Linked DNA regions of Notamacropus eugenii. The protein of the gene in region 1 interacts with the protein of each later gene in a biochemical or structural test. Links are inferred from orthologs where the notes say so. Each region holds a gene or a part of one and is shown on either strand. Other genes may lie near its edges. The genes, in order: transducin-like enhancer protein 4 and PAX5.

What was found.
Region 2: the proteins of transducin-like enhancer protein 4 (region 1) and PAX5 form a complex in vitro, tested with the Homo sapiens proteins (2 studies listed by BioGRID). The link is inferred for Notamacropus eugenii from reciprocal best matches to the Homo sapiens genes TLE4 and PAX5.

What each region holds. Positions count from the first base shown.
Region 1 is NC_092872.1:69,728,301-69,744,978, forward strand, and holds the start of transducin-like enhancer protein 4, read left to right. Parts: upstream 1-9,368; 5' UTR 9,369-9,461; coding exon 9,462-9,506; intron 9,507-10,587; coding exon 10,588-10,685; intron 10,686-11,717; coding exon 11,718-11,781; intron 11,782-12,991; coding exon 12,992-13,036; intron 13,037-16,678. UniProt on the Homo sapiens protein: Transcriptional corepressor that binds to a number of transcription factors. Inhibits the transcriptional activation mediated by PAX5, and by CTNNB1 and TCF family members in Wnt signaling.
Region 2 is NC_092874.1:317,649,070-317,665,416, forward strand, and holds the start of PAX5 (paired box protein Pax-5), read left to right. Parts: upstream 1-9,871; 5' UTR 9,872-10,013; coding exon 10,014-10,059; intron 10,060-16,347. UniProt on the Homo sapiens protein: Transcription factor that plays an essential role in commitment of lymphoid progenitors to the B-lymphocyte lineage. Fulfills a dual role by repressing B-lineage inappropriate genes and simultaneously activating B-lineage-specific genes.

The DNA.
Region 1 (16,678 bases):
CAGACTGAAATGTGGCAAAGAAATGTGCAGTTTCTTCTTCTGGCTTCACGTACACGTCTACAAGTAGATTTTTCTGCTCTCAGGAAAGGTAATGTTGGAACAAAGTTTAAGAAATATAGCAAATTAATTGCTAGCTTAGAGATGTTTTGTCTGTAATTGGGGATGGCTGTCATCACGGATGTGATCAAAAGCCTGATCCTCAGAAAAGATCTGAAATAGCCACTTTTTTTTCAACACTATCAGAATTCAGTTATTCATTCTTGTTTAGGTTTTTGAATGTAGAAATATAACAGCTCTAAAATGTTACATGTTCCTAGGCTAGTAGGTTAACATTCTGCTTTTAGATATCACACTAGAGAAGCCTTTCTACTTCTACTCTTTTTTAATGTCAAATTCTTATTTTGGTGATTATTCTGCTAAAGATAAAGAATAGGCCATTTACTGTTGATCAACAAAATGAAAACAATTTGAGTGAATTAGAATCATATATATATGTCTTGTTCAACAGAAAAAGAATATATTCAGCTTCCATCTGTTGAATCACTTTTTCATATTTAAACTCTTTTAAAGAAAAATCTCACTGCCAGGAGATCGGAAATATGTTAATCTCTGCAATTTACTCCTTGAAAATGAGATTTGAAAAACAAAAGGTATTCATTTTTTTTTTGGTATGCACAACTACAGATCTAGTTGTCATTTCTCTCCAATTTACATCCTTGTTGTCTTGTAACAGAATAAACACAATGCTAGCTATTCTCTTAAGGACTGAGACATGATCTCTGTTTGACCAGCACCTAAATCTTTTTTCTTAGAGCAGCAAATGCTGAAATGATCACTACTTAAGTGGCTAACTTAATGGAATATTGTATTTTATCGTTAATTCTTTCCTGACTTGTGATGTTTGTACATATTTAGTTTTAATAATTAGTAAAATTCTACTTATTCAGTAGTCTCACAGATACTCAAGTTTAATTAAAAATAGTTTGATGCTGCTTTGATTATGAATTCTCTTAGGCATAATATAAATAATTCAAAAATATATGGGACTAAAATAATTTATTCACCAAAATTTAAAATCTAATGCCACCAACATCTATGAAGTGCCCTCTATGAGTAAGGAACTAACTAGTCCAGGGGTACAAACCCGCCCCCCCCCCCCCCAAAAAAAAAACCCAGCTCCTGCCTTCAAGGAGCTTACAAACATAAACAATTTATCTGCCTCTCTGTTCTAGGAAACTGTTGTAGGGATAACAGAAACAGTGCGATTGGCAGAGATCCTGCCGTAACAACTGGTGAGGCCGTTTTGTTTATGTGTAGCATCATTCCCCCTGGGAACCTAAGGCGGCTTTTTGAATTTGACTAATTTTCACAACATCTCTGGGAGAGGAAAACCCATTCATTCTCCATCTCTCCCTCCTGTGTTCCCAAACTGGGGCACTTTTTATAATGCATCCAGACAGAATTTAAAGAGAAATTATGGTCTGGAGGAGGGAAGCTGTGCTAGAAATAATATTATAATCATCAATACTGATATTTATCAAGAATATAAACAAAGCAGACTTTTTTCCCCTCTTGCAGGCATTAGAGACTTGTTTGTATGCTTTTTTTGAAAGGAAATGTTTTATCTTTAATCTGCTGGTGGACTTTAATCATCCCTTAGAACTGTCAAAGAACATAATAATTTGGAAAGTAAGAAAAAGGCCATTTGGAAATGGTGGGAAATTGTCATTTATTGAAGAAATACTTAACTTGAAAATTTAAAATAAAGAAGTGTTGAACATTTATATGTGCTGCATTTTGAAATGAATTAGTAACATCTAAATTCCAATTCAGGAATCCCTGTTCTTTAACAACTTGCTTTTAAAAACAGTAAACATGTGAATCATATTTGTTCACAACAATATCAAAATCCATTTTTCTAGCTCACGTACTGACTACTGAACTTTCTCATGATCATAGTGAATTAATTTATATGGTTACTACTTAGATTTTTTTTTTTTACTGTTCTTTAAAGAAAGTCTAACTTGAGGAATAGAGGACATTTCATACATGCTCTTACCATTTCAAGTCACCAAAAGACGAATCAGAATATGAGTCAATCAGTATCAGATTGCCAAATTCTCTCACTGAGGAAACCTCTAAGTTTTAATAATACTATAGTAGGCTCTCAATAGTATTTGCTGAACTGAATAGCTATTAATCTAGGAAGTTTAGCTTTCCTAAGTTTATTACAGGTTGGTTTTAAATTTGGATGAACAGTGTTAGATTTACCATGAGGCCTTCTTCACTATTTCAGAAGTTGCTACTTCTATGCTTCTATCACTAGACTAAGAGTTCTTCTATTTTCTTTAAAAAAAATGCTTTTGCATAATGCATTAATTCCTGCATAATAGTATAGCATAGGATCTAATTAAAAATCCTTATTTACCTGATCAAGTTACACCTTTCACATAAAATGTATTTAATGATGAAGGGGAGGCTAGGTGGTGCAGTAGATAGACCACCAGTGCAGGAGTCAGGAGGACCTGAGTTCAAATCTCACCTCAGACACTTGACACTCACTAGCTGTGTGACCTTAGGCAAGTCACATAACCCCAATTGCCTCATATTGGGTCATCTCCAGTCATCCTGATGAATATAGATGGTCACTGGATTCAGATGATTCTGGAGGAGAAGTGAGGCTGGTGACCTGCACAGCCCTCCCTCACTCAGAAAAACAAAGTCAAGTGCAAGTCATGTCATCATTTCTCTGATGGCATGGTCTTCTTCAGCAAGGAAGGATGAAGCACGCATTTAATGATGACTGTAAGTCTTTCCTCACTGACTTTAAAAGCCTATCAAAATAAAAGCGGTCAAAATTGTTTTGTTTATTTTAAGCTAAGGTTGAAAAAAATTATTCCTAATGAACGAAAATCTCTCAGAATTTTCTACTTGTTTTGATGGAAATTTGGCAAGTACTACAATTATTGACTAATAAGATTGAATCCATTTTAGTGTTTTCTAAAATTAGTAGTGTCCTGGACAAGATATTACATGATGGCTCATTCACAATGACTTAAAAGAATTTCTAAGAAGAGAAGTTGTGTGATAGACCCGACTTGTTCTAGGAAAGACTATATAATATTATAGACAAGTCCTGATATGAAATATAGTTGTGAGAGTTATACACAGGTATTAATATTATAGGTCCTTAAAATTTGAGTCACACTTAATGACACTCAGAGGACCAGGCAAGGTCAGTGGAAACAAAAATCTGCTTAGTACTCTGAGGTATTCTTAAACTTCACACATTTTTATAACGCACCAAATAGTATAGGATTTAGCTCCATGCTTCCCCTCACCTCAATGTATAGTATTAAGTACTTAAGTATTTAGGTCTGTTTCCCAAGGTAATTGGGAAAAAGAAAAAGAACCTATATGTTCTAAAATATTTATAGCAGATCTCTTTGTGGAGGCAAAGAACAGGAAATTGAGGGGAAGCCCATGAAGGGCAGAATGGCTGAAGAAGCTGTAGTATACGATTGTGATGGAATACCACTGTGCTGTAAGAAATGATGAGTTTGATCAAAAAAAACCAAGGAAAGACTTGAATGAAATAATGAACAGGACCAAGAAAATGTTGTATACAGTACACTAATATTTTTCAGAGTAACTGAATGGCTAAACTATTCTGAGACATATGAAAATTCAAATTAGCTACAAAGGACTTATGAAGGAAAATGCTACCCACTTTCAGAGAAGGGACTGATATATGGAAGTATGTATTGTATGCTTCTAAAAATATATATCTATATCAAATGTTGACCTTCTCTAATGAAAACTTGGAAGGGAAGGAGGGAACTCCAAACATAACAACAACAAAGTGCTTAAGTTTTAAGTATTATGTACCTATTAAGCCCATAGGAGCATGGTTTTAGAATTGGAAGGGACCTTAGGGACCATGCTTCTTCATTTTACAGAGGGTTAACTGGGATCCAGTATGGTTCTTCAGCGATTAGCCCAAGGTGTAACATATATATTAAATGGTTGAGTCAGAATTGGAAATGAGGTCCTGACTCCAAATCCAGCCGTCTTTCCACCTTGCTGCTCTCACCCTCTAATTTTCAAAAATAAATACAAATTTCTCCTGTCTAATTTCTGTCTGGGCTGAGGTTGTTACAGAAGCAGAAACCTATTTGAAGGCTTGGCAAGAGCAATTGAAGAAACAACTCTGTTAGTAAAAAGTGTAGTAGTTTAAGCTCTAGGTGTATTTCTTCAGCTGCTCTTACCAAGTCTTAAGAGCCTCCAAGGAGGAGTATGTATGGGGAGGGGGGGGAGGGGAAGTAGTGGTGGAAAAGAAAGTGGGGAGGAAAAGGGAGACTTGTGCATTGGGAACTAAGTGCAAGGGGTCCTAGAGGTCATTCTTTCTGCAGTCAGTCACAATTTATTAACATAATTCCTTCTACCTTCCCCCTCCTAAATAAATAAATATTAAATATTTTTAAGTAAATATGATTGAAACCACACATTTTTATTGGTCAATACCAATTTTAAGAGTATAGAAAACATGAGCTCTGCACAAAGGACCAGGAAACACAGAATTTCTTTTCTACCTCACTACTTAACAGTTGTGAGATTGGGCAAATCACTTAATCACCAGGAGCCCCGGCTGCTTCATCGGTGACCCTTTATGAGAATATCAGCAAGGGAGATTAAAGTTTTCACAGTTAACTTCAGAGGTAATATCACAGGTATTATTATCCCCATTTTACTGAAGAGTAAACTGAAACTCAGATAGGTAAAACGGCATGTTGCCCATGGTCATAGAACTAAATAAGTGAAATGGTCTTTGAACTCAGATTTCTCCTAACTACAGACTTCCATTCTGTTTATTGCATCCCTTGTGCCTAGACTAGAAAATATTTTTAGGTCCCTTCTGCCTCTAGACTCTTTGAAAGTCAAATAATCTAGGAGTAATTAAAGAAAATAGTTTCGGGGTAGGTGCTGCCATTTCTCAAGTAAATAATACATTGCCCATTGTTCTTTTTACAGTTCTGTTAAGATTATAAGAATCTTTTTTTTTTTGCAATGAGGATGAGATAGCAATCACATGAATAAATAACAATAGTTAGCATTTATAAACTTTGCAAAGTACTTTATACATATTATCTCATTTTATCCTCACAAGATACTTGTCAGGTAGGTTCACAGATTATCTATGAAGCATTAAAGTTTGCCATGACTAAAGAGCTCATGTTGATTTTGTACAGTAATTTATTAAATTTTTATAATCAGTATAGCATATACGAAATTTGGCAGATTGTAATGTTTAGGTGATTGCAAATCAATGACTGAGCCAGAATTATGCCCTCAAATCAATTGATTCTTTAGTTCAATGATGATTTTTCTAGACTAAAACCTTTTTCTCTTACTTGTAGTACTTATATGATAATCACTACATTTCTGTTCAGGGTGTAGTATTCTGGACTGGGGATGTTTCATAGTACCTTTATATTTGACTTTTTCTTTCTCTTAGATATTACAAGCTGTAATGCTTTGTTTCACATCTTAAAGATGAAACATGCCTGAGGACCTGGGTTTTTTCCTGGGGAAAAAAAATCCACATTTTGCTCCCTCTCTTCCAACTCTCCTGTTGACACACAACTGTCAGGAGGTATTATGAGAAAGTTTCCTATTACAAGCTATTTGATATTTCCTCACAGAGCAAAGGACACTCTCTGCTCATTGACCCTCAGTATCTCTTCAGGTTCTGATATTAGAAGTCTCATCAAGTTTCCTGTGCTGGGGGAAGTGAAACTGCTACACAGAATTTCAGTAAATATGGTCCAGTTGATTCAGAGGCTTTCTATGATAGTGCAAGCAACATATCACCCTATTTGCACAAACTTCAGAGAATACTTATGTATCCTACAAAGGCAAGTATAAATTATTTCAGAAAATACACAAGTAAGAAAGGCAAAGACCACAATTTGGAGACAGTCTGGGTTCTGACCCGTACTGAGTGAATTTAAGCAAATCATTTAATCTCACTAGTATAGTTACTGGTAAAATGGGGAAAACAAAACATGACCTAACGGGGACTTGCTTGTGGTGAGAATCACATGAAAATATTGTATGTAAAGTGCCTTAAGAGTCATGAATGATTTTGAAAGTACAGCATACATTTCTGTCATGATGTCAGACATTATTACCAAAAGTCACTTAATTATTTTTCTTAGTTTTGGGAGAGGGTTCAGGATACGGCTAGGAAGGTACCCCTCTCCTCTTTTCGGGGTGGTTGTGGTGCTCTCTAGTATGAGAGCTAGGCACAGTCTCCAAGGAATCTAACAACAACCATTCGTTGTCATTGTTTCCCTTTATCATCATCATCATCATCATCAATCATCATGGTGAGCTATTTAAGAGAAGGGACTGGCTCTACACACTTCTGCGTCATTGCCTTCGCTCTTCTTTATAGGAGGTGCCCTATGTACCATGGAAAAATGGGAGGTTGACTGCTTCAAGCAGGGCATGGTTTTCAAGACTCCTCACCATCCAACATTCTTGTCTTCAAGTGACATTTGCTAACATGAACAACCATGGTCCAAGGTGCCGCAGGAAGCTTCCACTCTAAAATCGGGACCGGCTGGAGAGCTCAGGAATGGCAAGTCCATCTTTCCATCAACCAAGCTTGGGTCTACTGGCTTAGCAAGGCAGCCCTGCACTCGAGCCCCAGGCTCTCCCCAAAGCCCGGGGCCAGGCTGCTTCTTCCAGCGGTCTCGAGATCTCCTTTCCTCCTCTCTGGGAGTGAGCGTCTCTTGGGAGGCTGGCGCTAATGGGGGCGGAATGAAGGGAGGGCAGGCTCCCTGGAGCTTGGCACCCCTCATCACCTATGCGGAGCATCCTGCTGCTGCTTGGTGACACGCAAAGAGGAGGAACCGGGCGTTGGAGGCGCCACCTCGCCCCGGAGGGCATGCAACAGCCCGGCCGTCCTTCGTTTTCCCTACAGGGAGCCCCGAGAGCTCGCGGTCTCTCCGGAGCTAAAATGGGCGAGAGGTACGCACCCCTAGAGAACTCTCTCCACCCCCTTGCCCACCTCCACCCCACTCCGAACCCCAGCCTTTGCTTTATTAGACCGTCGGAGTCAAACTTGCTGGGCTGCATTTCTTGTTCAACAAAGGGGCTGGTGCGGGGGGAAAGAGGGTGCTTCCCCCACCCCCATAAAGTGTAGAAACCGGGAGGAGTGGAAGCTGGAAATAAAGTTTCTTTGGGGATCCCGAGCCTCCTCTCCCAGTCCTGGAAGCCCATGGATAGCTCACTATTTCTCGGACCCAGGCCTGGGATGAAGTTGGCTTATCGGGTGGAGTGTGGGGGGGAAGCCTTCTTTGGGTACGCTTCTCCCCTTTTTCCCTCTCTGGGAGGGAGAAGCCAAGTCAGAGCTCTAGGGTTAAACAGCAATCACATCCGTCTTACACTCTTTAAGAGGAGGCGCCTTCTCCCCCCTCTCCCCCCGCGGTGCCAACCCTTTACAACCCCCCCACCCCCCAAGTCACTGGGCGGTGCTTTTTGTCTCCAAACAAGGGCAGGGGGGACTCAGTCCCGTTCACACGGAAAATTATGCCGGCTCCAGCGGTGCGTAAAATTGATGTGAACTGAAAGAAGAGGGATCAGCGTGATCCTCCCTCTCTTGTCTCAACAGGGGTTTCGGCACGTTACACAAGGCCGAGCTTGTCTCTTTAAGGAGACATTGGACCCTAATTAGTCCGCATTCCTGGCGCGGCTAATGCGGCCGCCGTGGAGGGCAGCGTCGTGTGCATGTTTGGGTTGGGAGTTGGGGGTTTGGGGGGGAGGACGAGGATAAGAAGTTGAGTGCGTTTGACCACCACCGAGCCTCCTTCCTTCCCTCTCTATCCACCCCACCCCTTGCCACCATCACCCAGTTCTGAAGATGCAGCAGCAGCACCAGCAACAGCAGCAGCAGCGGAGGCAGCAGCTCCACCAAACCCCACGTTACTTTGATTGACAGCTGAACAAATGTTTCCCCTGTTCGAACGCTCGCGCTAAGGAACGTCAGCAACCGCGAAGCTCCACCTCGGGCGGGCCGCCTCTGCCCCGCCCCCGCTCACCTCATCCCACACTGTTGATTGGCTCGAGCCGCGGGCGACGCCCGGCCCCCACGTGGGAACTAGCCTGTCCGGCTCCTCCCCACTGGCTCCCCATTTGTCAGAAATGAAATGATGGGCAGTAACACAGAACGGCGATTAATGTTCAGCGGTCTCTGATTGGTTGTCTGTGTCGCCCGCTGCGCTGGGAGTAGGCGGGGCGTTGGTGGGGGACCCAGGAGTCGTCGTTTGGCCTGGCGGTGATTGTAGTCTGTCTCGGTCAATCCTGTAACTTAGAGTAGGGAAAGAGTCACCAGGATCGGACTACATCTCCCGGGATGCTCCGCGCCGCCTTCTTCTATGATTGTGAATATGTATCAGAATGTTAATGATTTGCTGCTGCTAAATTTGGTCAAAGAAGTCACCTAGACAGAGTGTGTTGTTAGAGCTGTTCCGAGCGGTTGTTTAGGCTGCTTGCTGCTTTCTTCCCCTTCTCTCACACACTTGTATGTTGTTTTGTGGTGGTGTTCGAGGAGTTTGAAAGGAGAGAGAAATAAAGCCGCAAAGCATTTCTTTTCTTTTCTTTTTTTTTTAACACCCCTCTTCTTTAAAAAAAATTTTTTTTGAGGGGTGAAAAACAAGAAAAAACAGGAAGGAAGAAAAACCAGGAAATGAGATGAGGTAAAAGAAGCTAAAAGGTGCATGTTAAGAGATCGTTGCTGTGAACCGAATAATCTCCAGAGAATCACTGAAAGCAAGGACCGCTTCCGAATCAAAGGAGTTTGCATTTTTTTTAATGCAAGAAGAGAGGCATTGCATACGGAGGAATAATAACCAATTAAAAGACAAATAAAAGTTTGGAGTGGGGTAGCGAGAGAGACTGTGCGGGTACACGGGGTGTTTCGCGGTTTTCACCATCACCACCACATTTGGAGGGCAGTGACTGGTGCGATCGGAGGGATATTACCCGCCAAAGGAACGTTCCAGGGGCTCCCGGGCAGCCGCTCCTTCGTAAGGACCGGCCCCTCCGGAACGTGGGGACAGCAGCCTCCGAACGTTGCCGGGGGAGACGTTCCACCCTCTACAATGACCGCCGGCCAGTGACAAGCCCCCCGTGGAATGTTGGAGCGGTTCCGTTCTGCCGGGGACAGAGACGCCGCCGCCGCCGCCGCCGAGGGTTCCTCCTCTTGTGTCACGCGAGACCCGGGGGCGGGGAGGGGGGCGCAGGGACCGCCGCCGCCGCCGCCGCCGGAGAGACGCTCCTCCGAGAGCCAGCCAGCCCCGCCGCCCGGCCGCCGGGTGCCTTCTCCTCCTCCTTGTTGCCATTAAAACAAATGAACCGAGCCGCTCTGCCCAGCGCCGCCAACTAAATCGGTTTGGATGATTCGCGATCTGAGCAAGATGTACCCGCAAACCAGACACCCGGTGAGTGGAAGCAAAGCCCGGCCGGCGGGGAGGGGGCGCGGGGAGACTTCCAGGCTGGGATCCCCCCACCGCGCTCCCCACCTTTTCAGTTTAACTACGAAGGTTTGAAAAAAAAGGAGGGGGGGAATGCAAACAAATAAATCCGTGCCCCTACTCCAGTCAGCCCCTTTGCTGCTCCTGGATGTTGGCAAGGAGGGGAAAGGACTGGGGAGCGGGGGGGGGGGGGGGGGGTGTCGTTTCGAGAAAGCAATTGAGTTGTAGCCATTTTCTTATTGTTGTCTTCGGGAAACCCTGAAAACCCGGGGGTAACCATTTGCGATCTCGGCTCCTTCAGTTTTTCCAGAGATGGAAAGGGGGGGGGGGCGCGAAGAGGGACCAGGAGACGGGGGAGCTCTCTCCATCCCTGGGCTGATGGGGGTCCAGCGTGTGCGTGCGTGTGCGTGTGTGTGTGTGTGTGTGTGTGTGTGTGTGTGTGTGTGAGAGAGAGAGAGAGAGAGAGAGAGAGAGAGAGAGAGAGAGAGAAGAGCGCGGAGAGAGCAGAGCGAGCGTGCGTGTATGCTGGGAGGGGGTGATGCCTCCCCCTCCTCTCTCACTTGTCCCTGGAGAATGAAACGTGTCGTTTTCAGCTCCTTCTCCTCCCCCCACCCCCTCATGCCAATTTCACAATGTATCCAAAGTGTCCCTGACTTAGACCGTGGCTGTTTGTCAGTTTCGATTCCGGGCCGGGGGGAGTGCTTGTGTTCCAGACGTTGCCCCTTCTTACCCTTAATGAGAAAAGAGCTTTCGAACCTTGATGTTCGTGAGAAAGGCGTGGATGGGAAAAAAACCGGTGTGTGTTTGCGTGTGTCCATGTCTGCGGGGAATGAGGGGGATGCCTAGCTAAGGGGAAGAGACTTTTCTCTGTATTTGGTTAAAAGACGAAAAGTGGGAGGGGGGGAGTAAGGGAGAGACAGTTTTAATAGCTCTTTGCCTTAATGTGCTGTGACCCCCCCTCCCCCTTTTAGCCCTGCTTGGCATGTTTTCCCAATCTTCGCTCGCCTGTGATGTGGGATAATTAAATAATTTTATTGTTGTTCTTTAGGCACCGCATCAGCCTGCTCAACCCTTTAAATTTACAATTTCCGAGTCCTGCGATAGGATTAAGGAAGAGTTTCAGTTTTTACAGGCTCAGTATCACAGGTAATGATGTTTACTTTCCTTGATCCTCCTGTTTGCTTAGCTCTTGTCAGTTGCCCCCCCATCACCCTAGCGCCCCCTCTTTTTCATTTTGATTAGGTTGAATGTAAAGATTTGGGGTGACTTTTTTTTCTGTTTATAGACAGTAATAGCACCCTTCTGGGCAGGTGCAAAAGAAAGTGTGAGTCTTTCTCCCCAACATAAATAGAAAAGGGGGCAGAAACGCTTTGAGACTGTAGGAGCTTTGGAAGATGGTGGCAAACTTTCAGTAATAATTTATTGGGGCAGAAAGAAAGCAAGGGATAAGGAGATTCAGGGGCCTTTTAGCTTCCTTATTTGTTGCTTGGGATTTTCCTCCTCTTCTTTTTTCTTCTACCTGACCGTCTCACTTTTCTGTTCTCAACATATCAAGGGGGAGAATCTTGGCTTCCAGCACAGCTATCTCATTTCATTTTTGCTGAAAGATGTTTTATTCTCAGAGTGATCATTGACTGAAAGTTGACATTTTAAAATCGTTTTGCCATAATTTTCATTTATGTATGTTTCTTTTTACATGATTTAAAAAAAATAAACCCCAACTTGGACAGGATCAACAATTTGCCCCCCAGGGGTGATGGTATTCAACTTGTCTCTATTTTTGGAGGGAAAGAGAGACATCATTAAGCTACATGTGATTCATATTTTCATTCATTTCTTTGTGGACCATTAAGGAAAACTCAAGTGTGATGTTTTGTGGGACTGAGCTTTTATCATTTGTGACCATATATTAATCTCATTGATTTTTTTTTAAATGAATACACATTTCTGGATGAGATTCAAGAATGAAATAGAGATTCCTTATCTTCCACCTTAAACTTTAAATAACACTTTCTGTTCAAAAGGAGAAATGAGACCACCTCCTTTATATTTTTTTTGGTGTTGGTATTTTAATTGTCGATTTGAAATTTATGGATACTGATCTTGAGAGGTAATGAGCATACTTGGATTAGAAGAGAAGTGTTATGGAGTACTCACGCTTCATTATGTCTTGAACAGTTTGAAACTGGAATGTGAAAAACTGGCCAGTGAGAAGACCGAGATGCAGCGGCATTATGTCATGGTAAGAAAACTGAATAACACGTTCAAAATGTCTATTAGTCTGATATACCAAAAGCAGGAATTCATTCAGGTAGCTTCAGGCTACAAAAGAAATCACTACTGTGTTGCCACTGTATTTGGAATTGTGGCATAATTTCCATCAGAAACCTGTAATTCCAGGATGTTAGAACTTGCTTCGGAAAACCGGTTTTGATTTGAAATTTTCCTCCAAGTTGAACAGCATGCTGTGTCATTTTCTCTGTACTTTGTTTTTTAAGAATTTTGGAAAACAGCAACACAACCTCTGCATTTCTGCTTTGCTTATAAGTCATGATCAAAATATTGGTGTTTTGGTGGCTTGCCTTGTTGTGTTTTACTATAATTGCAAATGATTGTTAACTAACGATTTTTTTGTATATGGTTTAGTTTTTAGTGCTTTCTTTTTTTAAAGAGTGAGGAATTAAAGAAAGATAAAGATCATCTTTTTAAATTAAAAAATAAAATTCCATTTCACCTATGTGTTGAATAAAAGAGACTTTTTAAATTTCCCAAGGTTTATTGCATCAAGATTCCCAAAGTACCAGTTATCATCTGGGTTTAAAAATCACAGTTTCCTTCCAAGACATATAATCATGAATGTTTGTATGATGGCTTCTAAAGCAGCTGAAGGATTACATTGTGGGCTTGCATCTAAGGCAATTTCCCTTTGAATTTGTGGTTATAAACACACTGCTTAAAAAATGAGAAAGTTAACCCCAGAGATTATTTCTAAGTAACACTGCCTTTATGACCAAATTCTGTCAAAGCACAAAGATTAATTCAAGATGTATTTTTCCCATTTACATGTTGGTCTTGCCTAAGAATTAACGTACACTTGTTACTGAGTTCACACACCAGGATTTTTCTTCTCATGAGAAATACTGAGAGGGAGCAGAACATGTTAAAGATGCTCAGATTTTGAACTCTGAATTGTCTTAACATTTTCACTGGGAGTATCTTTCATCCCTTTTCACCCCCTCCCCCTTCCCCTATAATTCAAAATCACTTTTTGTATTTGATTAAGTCAAAATTAGTAGATAGATAGCCGAATTTATCATGGAGTTTATGGGAATGGGTAATATGGGTTGTGGGTTTTTTGAGGTTCTTGTCAGGGAGATGAGGAATTTCAAACAGAAAATAGAAATATTGCCTGATAGTTGGCATGAATTTAATTGATTTTCCTTCCTTGACAGTACTATGAAATGTCCTACGGGTTGAATATAGAAATGCACAAGCAGGTAAGCCTTGGTTGGTTTCCTTTAATGATAAAATCATTTCAGTAATATATCATGCTTTTTAAAAACGTAATTCTCTAGTCTTTCTTTATCCTTTTGTATATTTGCATGGCCCGATTCTCAAAATGATTTATGGTATGTAGAGTGCTACGGTTTTTCTTTGTATTTTCCCTTTTTTTGTTGTCTGTTATCATCATTTTAAATCATAGGTGAAAATGATTTGAACACTTTTCACAAGCCTACATATTATCATTTTCTTTTTTGAAAGATGTGTGTTATATCGTGGATTTAAATAAACTAGAATCTCTGCCATAAGGAATATATCTTTTCTTAAAAAGATTAAAAAGTAAAATTGTATGGAAAGGTAAAAGGTTAGCTGCAAAGAATCAAAATGGACTCTGTAGCCCTACCAAATAAATTGTTGTAAAAATCCTCAAACTGGTCCCTTGAGGCTACTTAGTTGGGTCTTACCAGGAAACTGTCCGTTACTTTCAAAATTTGTGAGAAGTAAATGAGCTTGATAGCAGGATATGATGAGGTTCATCACTGTGCCTTGAAGTCCAGCAATTAGTTCAAGCCAAAGAAAAATAGTGATTAGTAGGAAAGGTGAGTAGTGTGACTCACTGAGCAGTGTGTGGGTTTTAACCTTTTTTTTGCCGGACGATAAAATAAGTGCTTTGATTTGGGTTTCCTAGAGAGAAAAACAGCACTTATTAAAAAAAAAAATGAATTGTTTGGCAATAATAATTTATTTTATGGAGTAGTGTGGTTTTTTTTAAATGCCCTTTTAATAATGTTGCTTGATATCTCACCAACCAGTAATGGAATAGGTGTGTGTCTTCACCTCCCTGTGTACAGAGGCTAGGAAAGTAGTTTAATGTGCTCTTCCTTATTCATATTAAAGATGTCTCTCATTACTTTTTGAGTTTGGAGAAGATGATTTGCCCAGTATTGTTCATCTTTTGCCATATGATGGACCTCTCCTTTGGTATGGTTTTTAGCACCACCAAGGGTACATTTGATTACCTTAAACTTGTGAATTAGAGAGTAAAAGACAGCAAATCAATTGTATCTGAAAACATGAAAACTGGCCAAACACTTGCAAAGCTCCAAAGTCATCTCTTATTTCAAGGGCTGAGAAAATTGGAGTTTGTAATTCGGAATACTTTATTTCATTAGTTCCATGGCTATGTTGAATGTAGCACTGACAGTGTATTGAGGATAGCATTCAGATTAGTTAGAATATCATTTTGGTATTACTGCCATTTCTGTTTAAATTAGGAGCCTAAATACTGCCTGCTTACAGAGAACTCATTCAAGCTTACGGTCTTCCATTCATTCCGCTTTACTTGAACAAAGTACAGCTGAGATGTTTGTATCATTACTGTTCAATTTCATCTTAGGTCTGTATCTTGTACATGTCTTTTTGCTATATGAAGATTAATTAGTGTCTTTTAAAGATTGAACTTAGTGACTAATGTCCTTCTATGTTTTCCTCCCTCTTTTTCTCCCTCCTTCCTATGTCTCCATAACCTTCTAGGCTTAGATTTCTTTATGCTGTGTAAGTGCTGGACAGATAGACACTCCATGTTCTGCCAGAAGTATAGTCTTTTATGATGTCTTCTAATTACATTTTATACTTACACCTTTAATTGTGCAGTCTTCTTGTTTGTAAGTCCTCAAACGCTGTCCATTTTAAATTGAGAGCAGAGTGTATTTCCCCCCCTTTTTTTTCCTCTTGCTTTCTAAATTCAATCACATCAAGAATCCTGAGGGCAGTTTATCACATTATGAAATACAGACAGGCCTGCAAACCACCTACTTATTATATTTTCTTTCTTTTTCCCCTTAAGCACAGAGGCATATCTGTCTTTATTTGTTTTCCTAGGCAGACAGCCTTGGTTCCTCTTAGCTTCTTTTCCAGATGTACTCGCTGGATGCCCTTGTAATGGAAAGCAGGCAATAATGCAGTGAAGTTGCCCTGCGGCATAATTGGGCCTAGTTCTCGAGATCAGGTTAGGCTTATTCACTTATTAGATTTGCGTCTCAGAGGGTTCAAGAGTAGGAGTCCCTGGAGTCCTTGGAAGTACCCTAGTAATTGGTGGCCCTGATATTTGAAACCTTTGTGTATTTTTCGGTTAAAGCTCCTGTTCTTCTTGGCTGCTTCCAACTACACAGTATTTATTTTTAGAGAAATTTTTCATTGGAACAGAAAATGATGGCTGTGATGGAGGCATGACTCTGTGACTTAGCAAATTGATAAAAGGATAAATGCATGGAGCAGAAACGATGTGGGGGTCGATATTGTCTTCTCCCCCCTCCCCCCTCACTTGGTGCTCATCATCAGTCATCCTGTGTTGATTTTGATAGAAGACTATTAAAGTAAAACCTATGGGGAATTTGTCATTCTGAAATGAAAGCTTAATGTAATTAGTACCAATTAAAGTACATTTAGTAAATTGGATTTAATCTTAATTAAGCCTGCATAATGTTGCCAATTTTTAACAATTATGTTTGAGAACATAATTAATTTAAATTTTGGTAACTGAGTAAATAGCATTAGATTGGTAGAATGAGTTGATTTTTTTTTTTAAAGGGGAACTGAGGGTACACAGTAACGTGACATCGAATTAAAGCACAAGATATGAATCTAATTTTTGGTAATCTCTACTAGGATCAATAGAACTGAGCAGATGAAACTAGAAGAAACAAAAGTTAAGGAGGAACATTATAGGCTATAATATGAGTCTATACTTCCTTATATCTCATATTCTAGTATGAAAGTGAGGATGACAAAAGGAATGCATTTAAAGAACATTTTATTGAGATGTGTCTGCGTCATGAATTTCTGAAAAAATGAGAGACTATCAGAGAATAATTCTCTCGCTGTGCATCTCAACTGGTTTGTTGTGTAGAAAGACAGTTGATAGTGTTTAGTAGATGTTACTTGTGTTGCCAGTTAATACCTTAATAAAAACAGTGTCGCTTTTTATCTTAACATGGGTCACTCATTGTTGCAGAATTGGGCTATGCTTGAGTTTGAGATCATCTTAGGATGATCTTAGCACATACTGCTCTTTTATGTATGATGCTATAAGTAAGAGAGACCCTTTGGGTTTAAATAGACATTTGTACTTAGTATTGAAGGTTGAATATTGGAATTTGATTAGCTAGTAGGCATTTCTGAAATAAGAGCTACAGGAATTTGAAATGTGGTAGTGATGGAAGTATTACATTTTGGCCGAAAGAGAATAAGAAATCGTCTATCTAGCTTCTTGCTAGTTAACGTTCCCTAGTCAAAAGCACCCCTTGTTTCCAAAAATTAGTCTTATTTGATTTTGATAAATCTTGATTTTGTAGAAGCAACAATATGAGAATCTAAATGAAGTAAATATACACATACAAATGTTTTTTAAAAATCAAAGCAAGAAAAACTTTCGCTCCAAGCCATGTAAATTTTATTACAAGACTTGGGCAACAACCATTTGAGTGCTGTTAAAATATTAATTGAATAGAAATGAAAGGGCTCTGCCAGCTGATAGGATCTCATAATCATAGCTGCAGCAGTCGATGGTAAATGATGATAAATGGCATTAGGAACCTTTTAGCAAACTGTAATAACTACAAGGAGGGAAGCAGTATGGA
Region 2 (16,347 bases), on another chromosome or scaffold:
CTCTACAATATTTCCTTTCTGGCCTGTGAAATATATCAGACCTCTTCCGTAAATGTAGTATCTCAGCATGCATGTATGCTATCTCTATACAGAGTGACAGAACTGAGCCAACTGCATATGAAAAAAAAAATCTACTGAAAATGGTGATCAACTGTTCCCTTTTTCCCTTAAGGGCAAAACAAGAAAAACCAGGCTTAAGCTGCAGCCTGAGGGAGTGAATAACAGACTTTAGGAAAACATTCCTAAGAGCAGGGTTAACGTGGCAGGTTGGAAAATCATTCTTCTCAAAAAAGTCTTTACAATTAGACTAAATTCTTTTCTGTCTGGGATAATTCAAATGTGTTCCTAACTAAAGACAAGTAGCTAGGGTAAGAGATTTCCTGACATCCTTTCCAGACTGTGAAAACAATGCATACCGAGAATAAAAAGAATGTTTAGAGATTAATGTTATCATTTATAACTCTCCAAAAATTCAGCATTTGGATTTTTAAAAGAAAAATGCCTGAACTAAATGTTTTTAAGATTGTGGTGTAACCAAAGAAGTAACCAAGCACAAAATGTTAAGTCTCTTCTTAATTAAAAGGGTTAATCCACCTAATAAACAGGGTTTTTCCAAATAAACAAATAAAACCCCCAAGGCAATTGTCTAGTAAACAAGGGATCTCATAAACAAATCATTCAAAGTTGTCTGACTGTGATCTGATGCAATGAGTATTTGTGTTTTTCATGGTTTTTTTTTTTTTTAATAAAAAGCTTTTTCTTCACATTTTCTTTTGCTACCTAATTTCATGCATCAGAGGTCAAAAGACAAAAGGTCAGGCCTTGTTTAAGCTAACTCCTTGCCATGAGTAAAATCTAGGGAAACGTTTTTTTCACACAGCCTGTAAGTATTTTTACATTAGCTATAACTTTAAAATTTTTCTCTTTACCCACCAAAATGGCAGTAAATCATCCCCACCCGTCAATTTCTTCAAGTTGTATTTTCATGCTTGGGTTTATCTTAGGTTCCAATGCTATTAAATGGCAAGAGAGTTTTACTTAACCTTGTACACAGGTAGTAAGTGGCATTTATCTATGTACAGGTGAACTTTACTTATATACACATATACAATCTTAAAAATATTTTGAACACCTGAGTACATACTTCTTGGTTTTCTCAGGAATTTGTAAAGACTCATGAAAACATACCCAATTTCTCTATCATTGTAACATTTTGCTTAATGAATAGGCATTTTTAAATACAACTTTTTTTTTAGGTTCTCAAAAGACCATTGGCCAACTATTAGGATTTCTTTTTAGTGTTTTCTTTTGCTACTGGTAAATTTCCAATTAGAAAAAAAGGGAATAATGCTATTGCTTTTCATTAGAAATATCTGACATTTTAAAAAAGCCTTTTTAACATATAATTTTTCTGTATGGATGACCTTCATATAACAACTTAAAGTTCTTACAGAGGGATAGTTTTATGGATGGGATTTTATTTTATAAAATTGTATACGTCAATAGGGCCTTAGTCCCTTAGTGGAGCATAGAGGAACAAAAAAGTAATAAAAAGGCAATTTTAAAGTGCTATTTTTCTCTTGGAACTCTGTAGCATTTCAAGAAATTACTAGGAATTTAGTTTGGTGTCTCTGGGGTTGCTAACATTCATATCACAGACCCTGAGAATATGAGGAAATTTTTAAAAAATTACTTCTCTTTTAAATGGTTAATAAGTTGAAAAAAATTGGCTAGTGATGAGTGCAAACTACTAAAAATAGTTGCTTAGTAGCTGATTTTAAGAGCCATCAAAAAAAAAAAAAAAAAGCCCAACTATTTAAACAAATGTAACCTGATCCAATGCAGCTCTATTCTCTCTCCACCTGACTTTGTCTTCAAGGAAAAAGTAAAACAAAATAAGACAAAAGAGTAGCTTAGGGTTGAATTGGATATTTAAACAAAATTTGGCATTTTACTGATTTGTAACCTAAGCTTCTTGGATGGGACCTTATGTTTGCTGTGATGCATACTCATTGAGAGAATTATATATCACACTTATTACAGAAATACATAATCAAAGGTTCTCAGGAAAGAACTGAAGATATGGCCTAATTAATTAAGTGCATCACTTAACTTTGCTAGAGTATCATTTTGATCTGTGTCTAAAACCATATGAATTATTTTGCCCAACTACTAACTTGGATTTTCAAATCCCTTGGGAATTTATTCATTTTTATGTTTTAGAAGTTTGTAGAAGCAAATTATCTTCAATTGCATTACGCTGAAATAAACAAATGTGGTGGGTTCACATTCTAAAGTACACATAACACAGAGAAAGAAAAAATTGTCACATAAGTATTACTGGAAATAGAATAGATCCAAGAAAACTTTCTAATGTGTAAGTTATAGAATAATTAAGTTACAATTAAATACAACAAGAATTTATGAGTCCTTATTTTACAATTAAACTAAGGTTTGTAGAAGCTTTTAAAAATAATTGTTTTCTCATAAATTATCATAGCTTTTAGAAAATTTTAAATATCATCAAGAGTACTTTTTTTTTTCAGAATTGAAGATTAAACATTTAACTTCACAGAGATACATGCTCTATAAAAACACCAAGGAGAGGCACACAAATAGGTCTATTCCTGCCCTTATATGAAAACATAGCTTCTCCATCTATAAATGTAAGTCAGAATCAAAGGTTAGCAACTACTTACTGGATTTGAATTGAAATTAATCAGTTCAAACAAACCAGATTTTTGGTCACTTGAACCTTTTCTCTACAATATCTTGTTATAGCCCTCCAAAGAAATAAGGAAAACTAGGTTTTGTCATACGGGTCGCCATAATGCAATATTGTGGATGTTTTCATCTTACTTTTAACATTTCTCCCCAATGAGTTACAAGCACGTGCTGCGATTTTTAGAAGTCTTTGCTTTCAGTCATTTAAAACACTTAGAATAAAAGATGTAGGCATGTCTTTGGCATGTATTATTAGCTGGGACACTGCGTTTAAGCGTCACTCCCTTTCGACTTGCCACGGGTACGAGTTCTTTGGTTTCTATTAGAGGCCCGTAAATGTGATTTGGAGAAAAATGACAAAATGTTCATTTTCATACAGTGCTATACCTCCCCGGCCTAGGGAATCCTCTCTATTCGAAAGTGTTGATTAGGGACTGTGCCTTCCTGGAGCGCAAGGTCACATCAAGCTTAGCAGAGTCAGCCAGGGAGATGCGGGGGGTAGGTTTTACGATTGGCCGATTGATTGATTGATTGGCAGAGCTAAATCACTGGTAAATTGGCCCCCGGCAGCGTGCGATTATTTCGGGCAAAGTGGCTATGACTTTGAATCAGCTCTCCGAAAGTAGCCCTTCCAACTCAACCTGCTAAACTCGCTATTCCCAGGCCTCTGTGCCGAGGAGAAAGGACTCAGCCCAGGCATAAAACTGGCGGTCAAAGCTGGGAAGCCAATCTGTCCCTGACTCTTGAGTACAGAAGCTCTCTTAACCCTGGGCTTAGGTTCCGAATCCCGCCCTCTTCTGAGGCTACGTCTTGGGATCTGGGTAGGTATGGATAAGTGACCACTGGATATTGGCTTTCCCCTGGCCTACTGCAGCTCTCCGACGAATTAGACCACTCTCCCTCATCCTGGCTGGGGTAATTTTGGTGGCAAAACCTGGGCCTGGGCCAAGAAGGCTGAAGGCCGCTGTTAATAGCTCCAGACCCCAACTGCCTAGCGCTTGCTGGGCTGACATGTTAAGAGATCTAAGGCTTCATGCCCTATATCAGGACCATGTCTTGCTTCGGGGCCCTCTGTCAGAGAAGTTATCACAGTCCTCTTCAATGGGGAGGAAGAGGCCCTCACAAAGCGATTTTCCGTAAGAAGATGCTACTCATTGCCGAGGCACCTTCCATTCTACCTGCCTGGCTCAGGAATCTGGGGGTGGGACGGGAGGTAGAGAGATTGGGGTAGTGAGGAAGGTCATTATCACCTCCATTCCTACACTCTCACCTCCTCCTCCCAGTTTCTTCATCTAGGCCCCCCGTGCCATTCCCCACCCCAGGCCTCTTCTCTCAAATAGACAGTTTAGCTAGCAAATATGCTCTTTTGTGTGTGCGTGTGTGTGTGTGTGTGTGTGTTTGAGGTGGATGGGGGTGGGGAAGAAGGGAAGTGAGTGGAAGGCGAACCCTGCAAGGTTCCTTCACTCGTTAGAAGGAAAAGCCATTTTCAATGTTAGGATCCGCAGGGCCAGCAGTTCACAGAATCACAGGCTAGGGAAGGGACCTTAGGGATCGTTTAGTCCAACCCCCTTATTTTACATAGGAGAACCCTGAGATCCTAAGAGCGATGAAATGTGCTCAAGGTTGCACTGGTAGCAAAACTGACCCAGAAGGTAGCTATTGCAGTTGCACCTCGGTCAGCGCAGGCCTCGGACAGCTCCTGTCCTTGGTTTCAACTTTCTGGCTGCCAAAGCGGCGGCGGCAGGGACTAGTGGAACTGGGAAACTACGAAAAGAGGCGAAACGGGAATCCTCTGCTTGTTCATTAGGCCAAGTCCTCGGCAGGACTCCAGCTCAGGTCTGGAGACCGGGGTTACCTTGAGGCCAAGAGGACAGCCGAGCAAACCAGTGCGTTTGGGGGCGTGACTGTCCTCGCAGCTAGAGGTGCAGGAGGGAGGGTTCTGTGTATGGGAGGAAAGGGGGGGGGAGAGGACAAGAAGGAGAGGGTTCCCCTTTTTTTTCTTCCGGCTGAAACTTCAAAGTGCGGCGACCCTCCTCCGCAGTGATCCGAGCCCGGCTAGAAGCATTTCTGAAGATGTCTGCATTCCTTCCTTTCCTGCTTTTGATTTCCTTTTGTTCCGGGGGCACTGTAGAACTGAATGAACCTCACCGAGGAGCTTTTCTTTCCCTTCTGTTGAAGCTTTTAAACTGGGAGGTCCCCTTTCCCGGCCTCCACCTCTGGCCCCCCTCTTCTCTTCCCCCACCTGTCCTTGCTACTGCCTCAATGTGCCTGCAAAGCCTTGGTGTGCCCCTTAGAGCACACGTTGCCGCGGCAGGGGGGAGAGAGGGAGGGAGGGAGTGCGGGAGGGGGTGGGCAGCCCCAGGGACCCTTGCCACACGTCCGGCTCCTCCTGGCTCCCCAGCGAGCCCAGACCCTCCGCTTTCTTTCGTACAGCTTTTCCTCCTGCTGGGCACTCGCACGGGTCCACTTTGGGCTACCAGGCAATTGACAAGAAGCAGTGTCCAGATCCCAAAGTGCGCGTGTCTGCTGCTGGCTGTGTGTAAGGAGGGAGAAGGATTGGGAAGAGGGGGGAGGACGAGAGGGAGCTGATTTACCACCTCTCTGGGAAGACAGTGGCCATTACGCCCTGGATTGCAAGAAGTTGTGCTGAATTCTGCTAGGCTTCAAGTCCAAAGGCAGAAGATGACCAGAATACCGCAAGTTGGTTTGCAGCTGTCTGCTTAAATGCGTATATAAGTTCGCCTAGACTTCTGTTTCTCACTTTTAGGAATTTTATTAGTGGGAGGGCAAGGGAAGGGAGAAGAGGGGGAGGAGGCCACAGCTTTTCTGAAATGTCAACAGTTTTCTTTCCCAGACTCAAAGGCATTAAAGCTAAAGAGAGGTTTTTAGAGTCAGCAGCAATCCAAACCAGGCCCTTGCTGCGACGGAGAATATTGGTGGTCTGGGATGCAAAGAAACGGAACGGAAAAAGGGCTTTGGGAGTAGGTGCTGGAGACTGCGGTAGCGTTTTTAATTCGGACCGACTATGTTTTAAGTTGTTCGAATCCAACTGACTTAATACTCCAGTCAAGTTGAGATTAAGAAACCGGAAATATAAAATGCATACATATACACATACACCAATGAATTTATTTTTAAAAGAAACATATTCCAAAGAGAAATGTTTTTATTCTGTCTCTCACTTAGGGTGGATGAGTGGGATTTAAAGGGAATTAAACTTCAGCGGAAAATGAAGGATCGGATTTTTAGGAGAATTCATACCTGAAAAAATATATTCAACACATTTTCCACTTCTCTAGGGGAAAAAACACACTACCAATCCCCCAAATATACACGGTCAAACCCTGGTGTCGCTCAGACTACGGCTTTTATTTTGTTTCTTTTTCACTAGCTGAACAACCCCTCCCGCCCGCCCCCCCCCGCACTTGTCAGTGTGCCACTCCACCCCTTCCTGCTTCTGCCAGTCAAACAAATACTTAATTTCAATGAACACATTCGTAGTCTACACGGGATGGAGAAGAGATAACTGTGAAAACAACCAGTGAGACGGTTGTGGGTTGCCCCCTCCTCAATCAGAGAAATAGGCAACTGAACAAAGATAAATTTGCAATAAGAACGCAAGGCACTATTTGGTTCGTATATCCCAGACTCGGGGTTTCAATATTATACATACTTTTGCGTTGTGGGAAAAGGCACAGATAAACGGCAAGCCTGAAATTCGTGCAAGCTAGCTATCCTGGAACAGGGGAGGAATCGTGGGCGAAAGGACACGTCCACTACTGTTAGCGGGAAAAGAGCAAGAAATATATCGCTGCAGTGCTGCACTAATTTATGCCTCTAAGGGAAGTCGTAATTTAGGTCGTATTCACACTGCTCACATAAGCTCTTGTAAGCATCAAAGGAGGAGGGTACCCTTCTACCAACCAAGAGTAAACGATTCCTCACTGCATTATTCGGAAATCCATTATCTTTTCTTGTTACAAATCCAATATTTCTGATTTTAGCCATTGGTAGCAGTGAGTCCCTCTCCTGAACACTTCCGGGATGATGATGAAGCTAGATGCAGGTTGTTAACCACAGCTGCACCAAAGTAGATGCCCTTACCCAAAACAGAAACAACAAAAAAGGACCCTCCCTCCCACAAAAGGACAGCAATCATACAACCTGATAAAGTAACAAAAAAAAAAATTGAAAACGACATGTTGAAATGTAATTTTTTAAAAAAGGCTTTTACTCCTTCTAAATGATAATTTCTCCCATCTTCCCCACCTCCCATTCTGCTCAGGGCTAAGTAGGGATTCTCCGAAATCTATCTCTGAGAACTGGGCAAAATGGAAAGTTTGCATTTTGCAAGGTTTCTTTTCTATACCACCGCGTTCTAAGGGAAGGAAACTCTTTGGTAGAATTGAATCGAGGATGAAGAAGGGCCCTCGTCTTAAGATTACTGAGAGAGAGTAAAACGTTTTTACATTTTGCATTAATATATAAAGAAAGAAAGAAAAAGGTTTTAGTAGAGGGAAGGAAGTGAGAAACCAAACCAAACCAAAAAAAATTCTCAGCCAAATACTACCAGGTAGCCTAGTGAGGTTCTCATTATAAACAAACCATTTTTACAATTGTTTAAATTCCATAAAGTATGAAAATTATTACTAAAGTATATAAATGTTACTTGACATGGTTATTTAAAAAAACATTTAAAATCACACGTCATAGTATTGTTTCACCTGCAATTAAAATAAGCAGCGTTTCCTCCCTTTTCTCCTAAATTTATACCCTACGGAGATTGGTCAGGTTACTTTTTGAACATTAATTAATTCTGAGCACTCTTACCACAGAAATGACTGTTATGAAGAGTGAAGGGATTTTTTTTTCCAGACTTTTCCTTCATTTGCACAATCCATGTTGGGAGGTAGTTTCCACTTAAATGGATATATTTATATAGAGGAGAGGGTCAAGAACTGCAAAGGGTGGCTTGTTGAACCATATTTGGGGTCAAAATGAACAGAGAGAAAACGTTTCTGCCTGGTATGGATCCTAATCTCCAAGATGCACAATTTGTATAATTTTTATTTAATTTTTTTAAAAAAATTCACACACTACAAAAAATTCCTTGGCAAAACATATTTTGCTACCAAAACAAGCTTTTTGTGTTGGAAGCATATTTCACATGTCACAGAGAAAGAAGGGGTAGGGAGAGAAATAAAAGCTTCCTTGTTTGGGAGAATGGTCACAGTAAATACTTAGGCTGAAATGATAAAAAAAAAAATTAGGTCATTTTATTAAGATGAATTCAGAAGTAACACAGCTTTTCATGCAGGTGCATTTTTATCATTGTTTTCAGCCATATCACATTGAAACTTTGGTGTTTGAAGAGTGTAGTAAAAGGATAGCATATTTATTGCTCATTTTTAGGTCTCTTTTTATGTCAATTCTAAGGACAGGTATTTAGTTTAGGTCACTGTTCTAAGACATCCCTTTGCTCTGTATAAGAGGGGAAACATTATACATAAATGTATCATTTGCTGTTGAATCAACACCAGCTTTTACTTATTTTTATGCACTAAATTTGCTAGAGGAAGAGAGTTTTCACTTTTCTCAGACTGTATTCAGTGAAGCAGCAACCTATTTTGAACTCAGGAAAAAGAAGGGTCTAGATTAAGAAACTGTTTTGATACCAAGTTCAACTGTAATGGCAAGGCAAGGACAGTTTATTTGACTTGAAGAACAAGCACATTTTAGACAGGCAAGAATATTTCAAAATTAATGAGATTTACTAAAAGAATTAAAGGAAGATATTTTTAAACAATTGCTTTGAAGTTGATATTTGATTTTTCTCTTAAAGCAAGCCTTAGTCCATTGTAAAATTTGTGTAGGTTACCTATTAATATGTACATATATATGCATATTCATTCATATGCATATATAGGTACAAATAAATACGATCAAGATCTAGTAATAAGGAACTACATAAAATAGTATTAATTTGAATATAATAATTTGGCTTTTATATTCCCAAAACCACCCATGAAGGGGTCTTAATAAAATAAAGTGGGGAGGATCAGATAGAGAGGGCACCATGAACATTTTTCTGGGGGAAGGGAGATTTTTATTTTATCTACACTATGCAATTTTGGGGGGAGAGGAGGGAGCTTTTCGATTTATGCAGTAGCATTATGTGGGTCCTAAGGAGCTATTCACAAAGGGGCTGCACACTTTTTGCTTGTTTGTTTGTTTTTAAAATTAATTTAGGGTAATATAAATCCTCAGCTCCATTTTTAATATCTTTTACTTTTCCTCTTTGAAAAGTCATTTATATTATTTTATTTTTAAAAAATGCTCACCGCAGCAGGTTATATGCTTTCTACTCATTCACGATCGTTTTTGAAAAACTGTTGTCTCGCTAAGGTAAGAAATTGGACCACAACTGAGTTGCAGTAAAAACCTCTCTCGTTTTAAACAACGATGCATGGCATCATGGGATAATAAAAAGACATAGAGTCCCAGGAAGGTTAAAACCCTCTATTCGACCTCCTTCGATTCCATTAACTTTACACACAGACACACACACACACACACACACGCACCCACACAGACACACAGACACACACACACACACACACACGCACACACACACACATTGTGAAGAAGTAGGAAATAACATTCCACAGAACAGCCTACTGGATGAAAATGATGCTCAGCTATGTTTCTCTCAGCTCGCCTTTTCTGTTGATTGTAGGAGTCGGTTATGTTGAAAAGTTTATTAATCCTTCCCTCTCCTAACCCCCCACCCACGCTTTGCAACGGTCTCCCTCCACCCCCAATCTATAAAAGCTCTTTAGATGTGTGGTGGTGGTGGTGGGATTGTTTGTTTTTCAATATAGTAAAGTCATCTTTCTTTGGCTTCCCAAACAGTGCTCTGTAAACATCTAAAGTCATACTTTCAGGCAGTTGGTTGCAAACAAACTTTGATTCTTGCTAGAAACGATGTCAGAGTTTCTTGGGTTTTGGATGCGTCTGGGGACATCTTGTGATGTTTTAGAGAACAGGACATGATCTCACATGGCGAGAAGCTCTTTAGTTCCTTAATCATTTCACGGTTCCTTCGGAGGCTTTTTTTTCCACCTAAAACGTTTAGTTTCAGCTCAGTGATCAGCTGCAAAAGCTCGACGGGGAGCGGAAGAGTTGAATTATTCCGACCTGCAAGCAGCCCCTTACAAAAAAAAAAAAAACCCTAAAAAAAGTGGAAACTTTTTTTCCCTGTCCATTCCACCAAGTCCTGAAAAATCAGAATGGAATTAGAGAAAAACTACCCGACTTCCAGGACCGGTAGAACAGGTAGGACTGAGTTTCTTTTTTACAGGGAGTTATAATACATAATTATGAAACAGGTTTTACTATACATGCATAATATTCATTAAATATCCTGACAGATCTCTCGATTTATAGTTGTTTTTGAATGTATATTTAGATATGTGAATATATGTAGACTTTTTGTGTTCAGGTGCAATATATCTATATTATATTTATGATATATGATACATAGAAAGACAAGAAATATACGTATACATGTGTATATACATATAGTGTGTAGATGTATTCATACTAAAAATATACATACATATCTTGTGTTTTGTGATATTTTAATATAGATATGTCTATTTAATGAAGACATGTCTATGCATGAAAACCTATAGGATATAGATGCATGCATGTAAAAATAGATGTATTGATTTTTATTATGTATATTCATCTTATGCTCATGAAATAATATAGTGTATCTGTATTCTGTTTATTAAAATGTGTGTATGTGAGTGTTTATATTGTCTGTACGTATTTTATAGATTAAATATGTGAATAATCCTAGAACATAATGTGTATAGGCAAACTTACATAACTAGAATCTAAAAGTTAAGGAGAGGGCTAAATTCTAACTTCAGCTAAATGATAGAGATGGCTTTGGTGGAGTTTTTATTCATCTGTTTTTGAGGGATGGTAGCTCCTAGGAATAACCAAATGTTGACTCAAAAAGCCAGGTGCTTTCATTTTACCAAGATATTTGGATTGAATTGATCACTCTTTGCCTGGGATGTATCTTTTGGATCTCCAAGAGATTAGCTAGAGCAACTATTTTCAAAGGGAAAGTCAACATACAGGGCCTGGGGGTTCCTTCAAGGCTAGGCAGACTCCTCTACTCAAACTGTGACTGCCAGACACTCGTGAGCTCACTGTGGGCAGAAGTTGAATTGGGTTTTCCTGAGGAAGTGAGGAGAGAAAAGGTATCAACTATCGATTTGGGTCTCTGTGCAACACTGGAGCCTTGAGGATAAGAGATCAGCCTCAGCAGCACGCTTGGCAACAGTAATGGAGATGAGGACTAGAATGGGGAGGGGGGGTTGAGGGGTGGAGGAAGAGGGGGAGGGGAAGAGATGTAGGGAGGGAAGGAGACACAAGAGAGAGAAGAAGAAGAAGAAGAAGAAGAAGAAGAAGAAGAAGAAGAAGAAGAAGAAGAAGAAGAAGAAGAAGAAGAAGAAGAAGAAGAAGAAGAAGGGAGAGGAAGGGAGGGAGAGTGGTGTTGGTGAGAATCCCTGAAAACTTTTAAGAGAAAACACTAGCTTTTATGATTCTGGATCCTCTGATCCAAGAGGAGAAAGGAGGGATCAGAGAGGAAGAGGTGGGGAGAAGAGAAGGAAGAGGAGGAAGAGGAAGAAGAGATGAAAAGAAGAAAGGAGAGGAGAGGAAAGGAAAGGAGAGGAGAGGAGAGGAGAGGAGAAAAGGCAGCATCTCTAGTCTTGTCTCTGTATGATTCCACACGTTTTCAGAACAGGAAAAATTTCAGGTCTAAGATTTCGTGCGAGACGTACAGTAACTACAAAAGTCACTTTTGCAGCCTGCTGTATATGCTCTAAGGTGGAGAGGGGAGGACAGGCCGAGGGAGGGGCAGGGAGGAGGGGGACCGAGAGAGAAGAGAAAGGTAGATTCGCTGCAGATTGAGGACTGTCCCTATCGTCGGCCCCTTCTTATCCCAATAGTTCCTAGCATCCCACCCTCACCTCCCACCCCAGTCACCTCCCAACGTCCTTTACCCTGGCATCGCTTTCTCAGTTACTCCCAAACCCAAACTGCAGTTCTGTGGCTAAGAAAAAAGACTTCAGCTTTTAGGATTCCAGATTCAGAAGGGAAAAAGCAAGGCCAGGGACCCTGAAGGAGTGTGGGGCACGAGGAGAGTGGGCATGTATTTTTAACTGTGCAAAAGGGTATAGGAAGCAGGGCAGGCGTTCATAGTGGTGGATCCTGGTGGAGGAGTTGGGGCGGCAGATAGAGCCACTGGAGTGCCTGGCATCTGTGTCTGTTGGCGCACTCTTGTACTGACAAGCTGTCTATAAATAATGTGATTTCGAGGAGATCGATGAGCTCTTTTATTAGTTAAATCGCCTGAATAATCGTTTAATCGATAAGCATTTCATTCCTCTTTGCTGCAGGCACCGGAATGGGGCTGGTCGAGGAAGAAGGAAGGGAGGGGGTGCCAGAAGGGAAAGGAGGGCAACTTTGAGCTCACTTGGACCTGTTTCAGAAGCCCATAACGCTCTTTCTTCCATTCCTGTCTCCCAGTCTCTCCTTCCCTCCCCCCTCTACTTCCTGTTTCTGGGCTGCTCAGGCAGACATTTCCAGTGATAAACCCCAGCCTGACCTTCCCAGCTCATTGCCCCCTGTCCCCACCCCACCTTGTCATCCCTTTCTTAAGTGTGTATGTTTAGTTGGGGATGGATGGGTGTTGCTTTGTATTCCCCAGCTTTCACCATTCCTGAGCCTCTAGTTGATAAAGGCAACCTGTAAGGATGGATACTAAACTGGACCCTATGTGAATAAGTGGAAAGAAAGTTGTTTGAGAATAGGGGAGGAAACGAGAAAGAAGCAAAATGCTGGTTGAGACTTGACCCCTTCTAGGTCAGAGTTGTTGGGGCAGGAAGAAAAGGGAAAAGGTGTGGGGGTTTGAAGAATGGAGGGTCCTCTGGATTTGAGTCCAACTGTATGAGAAAGGTCGTAAGGTCATTGTGTGGCCTGTGATGGGAGGAGGCCACAAACCTGAAAGGGAGAGGAAGGAAAAATTGGAGAGTAGGTGTAGAAGGCATCAACTAGAAAGTGTGTAAATGTAACCATCTCAGTTTGTCTGTTCTTCTATCCCTCCACGGTTCTCATACTTCACTTTTGATAGGTTGGACCTTACTGGAAGTTTGAGAGGTTTAGATTCCTAGTTCAAGCAAAATGACACATTTTAAGGATTTGGGTTGGAATGAAAGTTGGAGTTTTTCTTGGAGCCATTTTCACTTAGTTAATAAATAATGCTTCTAGTCTGAAACCTAGTTGTCAAACCTCTCCCACTAGCACCCCAACCAAAATTGCTTGAGTCATGAGTTAGGAATGGGGTATTTATATGCTTCAACCCACTTACAATGGAGCAAATTCTGTTGCAGGTGCTGAAGTCAGTGTTAAGTGGATTAGGTCAAATATAGAGAAATGGTTAAGGGCTGCCACAGAGCTCCTTCCTTTTACTGGTCTCTTAGATCCAGAATCACAAAAAACAAGTCAATACTAATGCTTTACCTCTGTCCCTAATCTTTCTCAAGGCCTCTACTTCTTTCTCTTTTCTGTCCTTTTGGGGCATTCCTTGCCATCAAGTACACAATTCTTTTCAACCTTCCCCTGATTTAGTGATTGGGCAGAGCATTTGTCCTTAGCATCCACAGGGTGAGTTAAGTTGGGAGAACTATCAATGAGGGACTTCAGCTGGGATAATGTGAGGTTGGGTTGGCATGTTAGGATTTGTATTGGTGTCACACCTTTCACTGGTGGAATCAAGTCTTCTTGTGTGAAACATTTTTCCACCTAAAAAAAAAACCCAGGCCAAAGTAGGAGTCAGGGCTTCCTCCTTTGTCTTCCATATAATCTCAAAAATTAGCATCCCCCCCCCCTTTAAAACCAGAAAAATGATCACTTTGACCAATAATATATATCCCAGAAATGCCTAAAATTTTGTAGGCTTTCAAATTCTCTTTGTTTGGAGGGGTGGCATGAGAAAGAGGCAAAAGAATTAGAGAATGCATTGAGATGAATTAGAGTTAGCAATTTCCTAACTCTCTCTGGCAAGGGGAATCAGCCAGAAGGAAGAAAAGGACGAAGTAGAGGGAGACAGTTTGGGGAGAGGAAAGGGGAGGGGAGGCTTAGCTTAGTCTCTTTTGAGTCTCGCTCAGGGGTAACGTGGTACTGATGGACACCCTGGTCTCCTGGTGCCTGACAGGTCACTGAATCTAAGCAGTCTGTTAAGGGAGGTGCTTTTCCTCTCTGTGACCCGTGAAATAATCTATAGAATTGTTTACTTTCAGATCAAATCTCGCTGTCAAACACTCTCTGGTCGGACACACGTGGGGACCACACTTCCACTCTCAGCTTCTCCCATCCTGGGTGGGTTTACATAATCACTCATCAGGACTCCTAGACCCTATATCGTTTCTAGGGAGTAAAAGGAGGACGGAGGCTAGAGAGTGACCACGGAGTCCTATAATGCTCCCTGCATTATTTATCCTATATAGTTTTAAGGGGAAGAACAGACCAGTTGTTGCCATTTCACCCAAAGCTGGACCTCAACCACTATTGTGAATATAGCAAACTGCGGAGCGTTCCAAATAATCGCTAAAGCAGATCTCTGAGGCTCATTGTTCTTTAGCAAACACAGAGCACACACTCTGATCCAATAATTTCCCAGGAACCCAATGATTAGCTATCACTTTTTAGTCCCGGAGTTCGGCAGCCTGGGGACGTGGGGGTGGATAGAGGGAAAAAGAGGATAAGGAAGATAGGAGGGGGTTGGTAAATTGGAGGTTACCACGTGCATCTCCGGCTTCTGCTTTAGGTCTGAGTTCTGAGAAAGATGGTAAATAATAGCACACGTCTTCCCACATTTTTTTTTTTAAAGAAAACACACACACACACACACACACACACGAAGAAACAAACCAACTCAGAGTACAATAGAATTTCTGCTTGGAGAAGTTAGCGGTTTTTAAGCTTTTTTTCCAGACAACTTTTGGTGGTGGTAGTTTGATGAAAGAAGAAAAGCAGGTAGACTAGACGAGTCCAAAATTTGTCACCCATTCTCCTTCAGTCCAAACTGGAATATTTGGTTCGACGCTTGGATTCTTTTACTCTGCCCCACCTCCCCAACCTCCACCCCCGGCAAAAATGAAAAGATCCAGTGGACGAATTGGGACTGAATATGAGCAGACGATGGACAGAGACAGAGAGAGACACAGAGATCGGAAGATAAAGAGACAGAGAGAGGGACATAGAAACAACGGAGACAGAGACAGAAGCAGAGACAGAGAGAGAGGTACACGGTGATGAGAGAGACAGACAGACAGACAGACACAGAGAGACACAGAGACAGAGACATACCACGTTTAAAGCATGCAAGTCAAGGAACAAGGAACTCTTCCAAGCACAAAGATATGGAAACTTTTTTGGGGGGGTGGGTATTGAAGAATCCAAACAATCTCTGTTCTTCACAAACTTAAAACAAACTTGACATAGACACCTAAGAAACCCTAAAACTGTTTCTTTTTCGGAGGGCTTGCGGTGGGACATATATTCAGCTCTCCGAGTTTAGGGACCATAGACTTTCAGCAAAGGTCCAAAGAAATAGAATCCCTTGCCCTACTTTCGTTTTCTCAGGAGACACTGGAAAAGTATTTTCAACGAATCCTTTTTTTGAGTTCGAAGTTTTCTTGCCTTGTTACTCAGATTGGGTGAGGGCGGTGATACCCTATAGCAGGTGTGTACGGTGGGAATACTTGGCAGAAAAGATTGTGTGTAGGGGCTGGGGAGTGGGGTGGGGAAAGCAGGAGAAGTCCCCTGAACTTTCCGTGCTTAAAAACAGACACATCACCCTGGATCAGTGGTAGACTGGGGAAGGGAAGGGAATAGAATAGACTTTACTGTGTGCCAGACACTACGCTAAGCGCTTTATTATCATTTGATCCTTACAACTGCCCTGAAAGGCAGATGTTGTTATAATTCTTATGTTTCTCTTGAGGAATCTGAGAGTCAAAGTTGAGTTCCAGTGTTTGGTATTTCTGGCACATAGGATGTACAGGTAGGGGAAAAATATAAACTCAAAGCAGAAGTCACGTCAACTAGTTTACGTCTGGAATAGAATGTTTGGGGAGGTGGGGGAGGAGTGGGAGGGGAAGAAGAAAGATTCAACTAAACCTTTAAAAATAATAGTAAAAAAATTCAACCAAAGTATTAATGTAGTAGTTGGCTCATGGCGGCAGTAGGAGAGGGAAAGACTGGTTCTGGCATTCTATCTCTAGCCTCTGCTTCCAATCCTTTTGAGCTAGACTAAGATTATTAAGGAAATATTCACAACAAGCATCCCTTTTCATCACCACTGCTGAACACCGACACCTTCCCCCAGCAACAGAGGGATCTCCAAACTGAACTGAGGAGGAAGAGAAGATCAATACTGAGAGGAAATCTTTCCTTAAGGAACAATAATCCCTCTCGCTTGTGCAGCTATTTTATAGTTTGCACAGTTCTTCACACCAATGACCTTAGTTAAGTATCCTA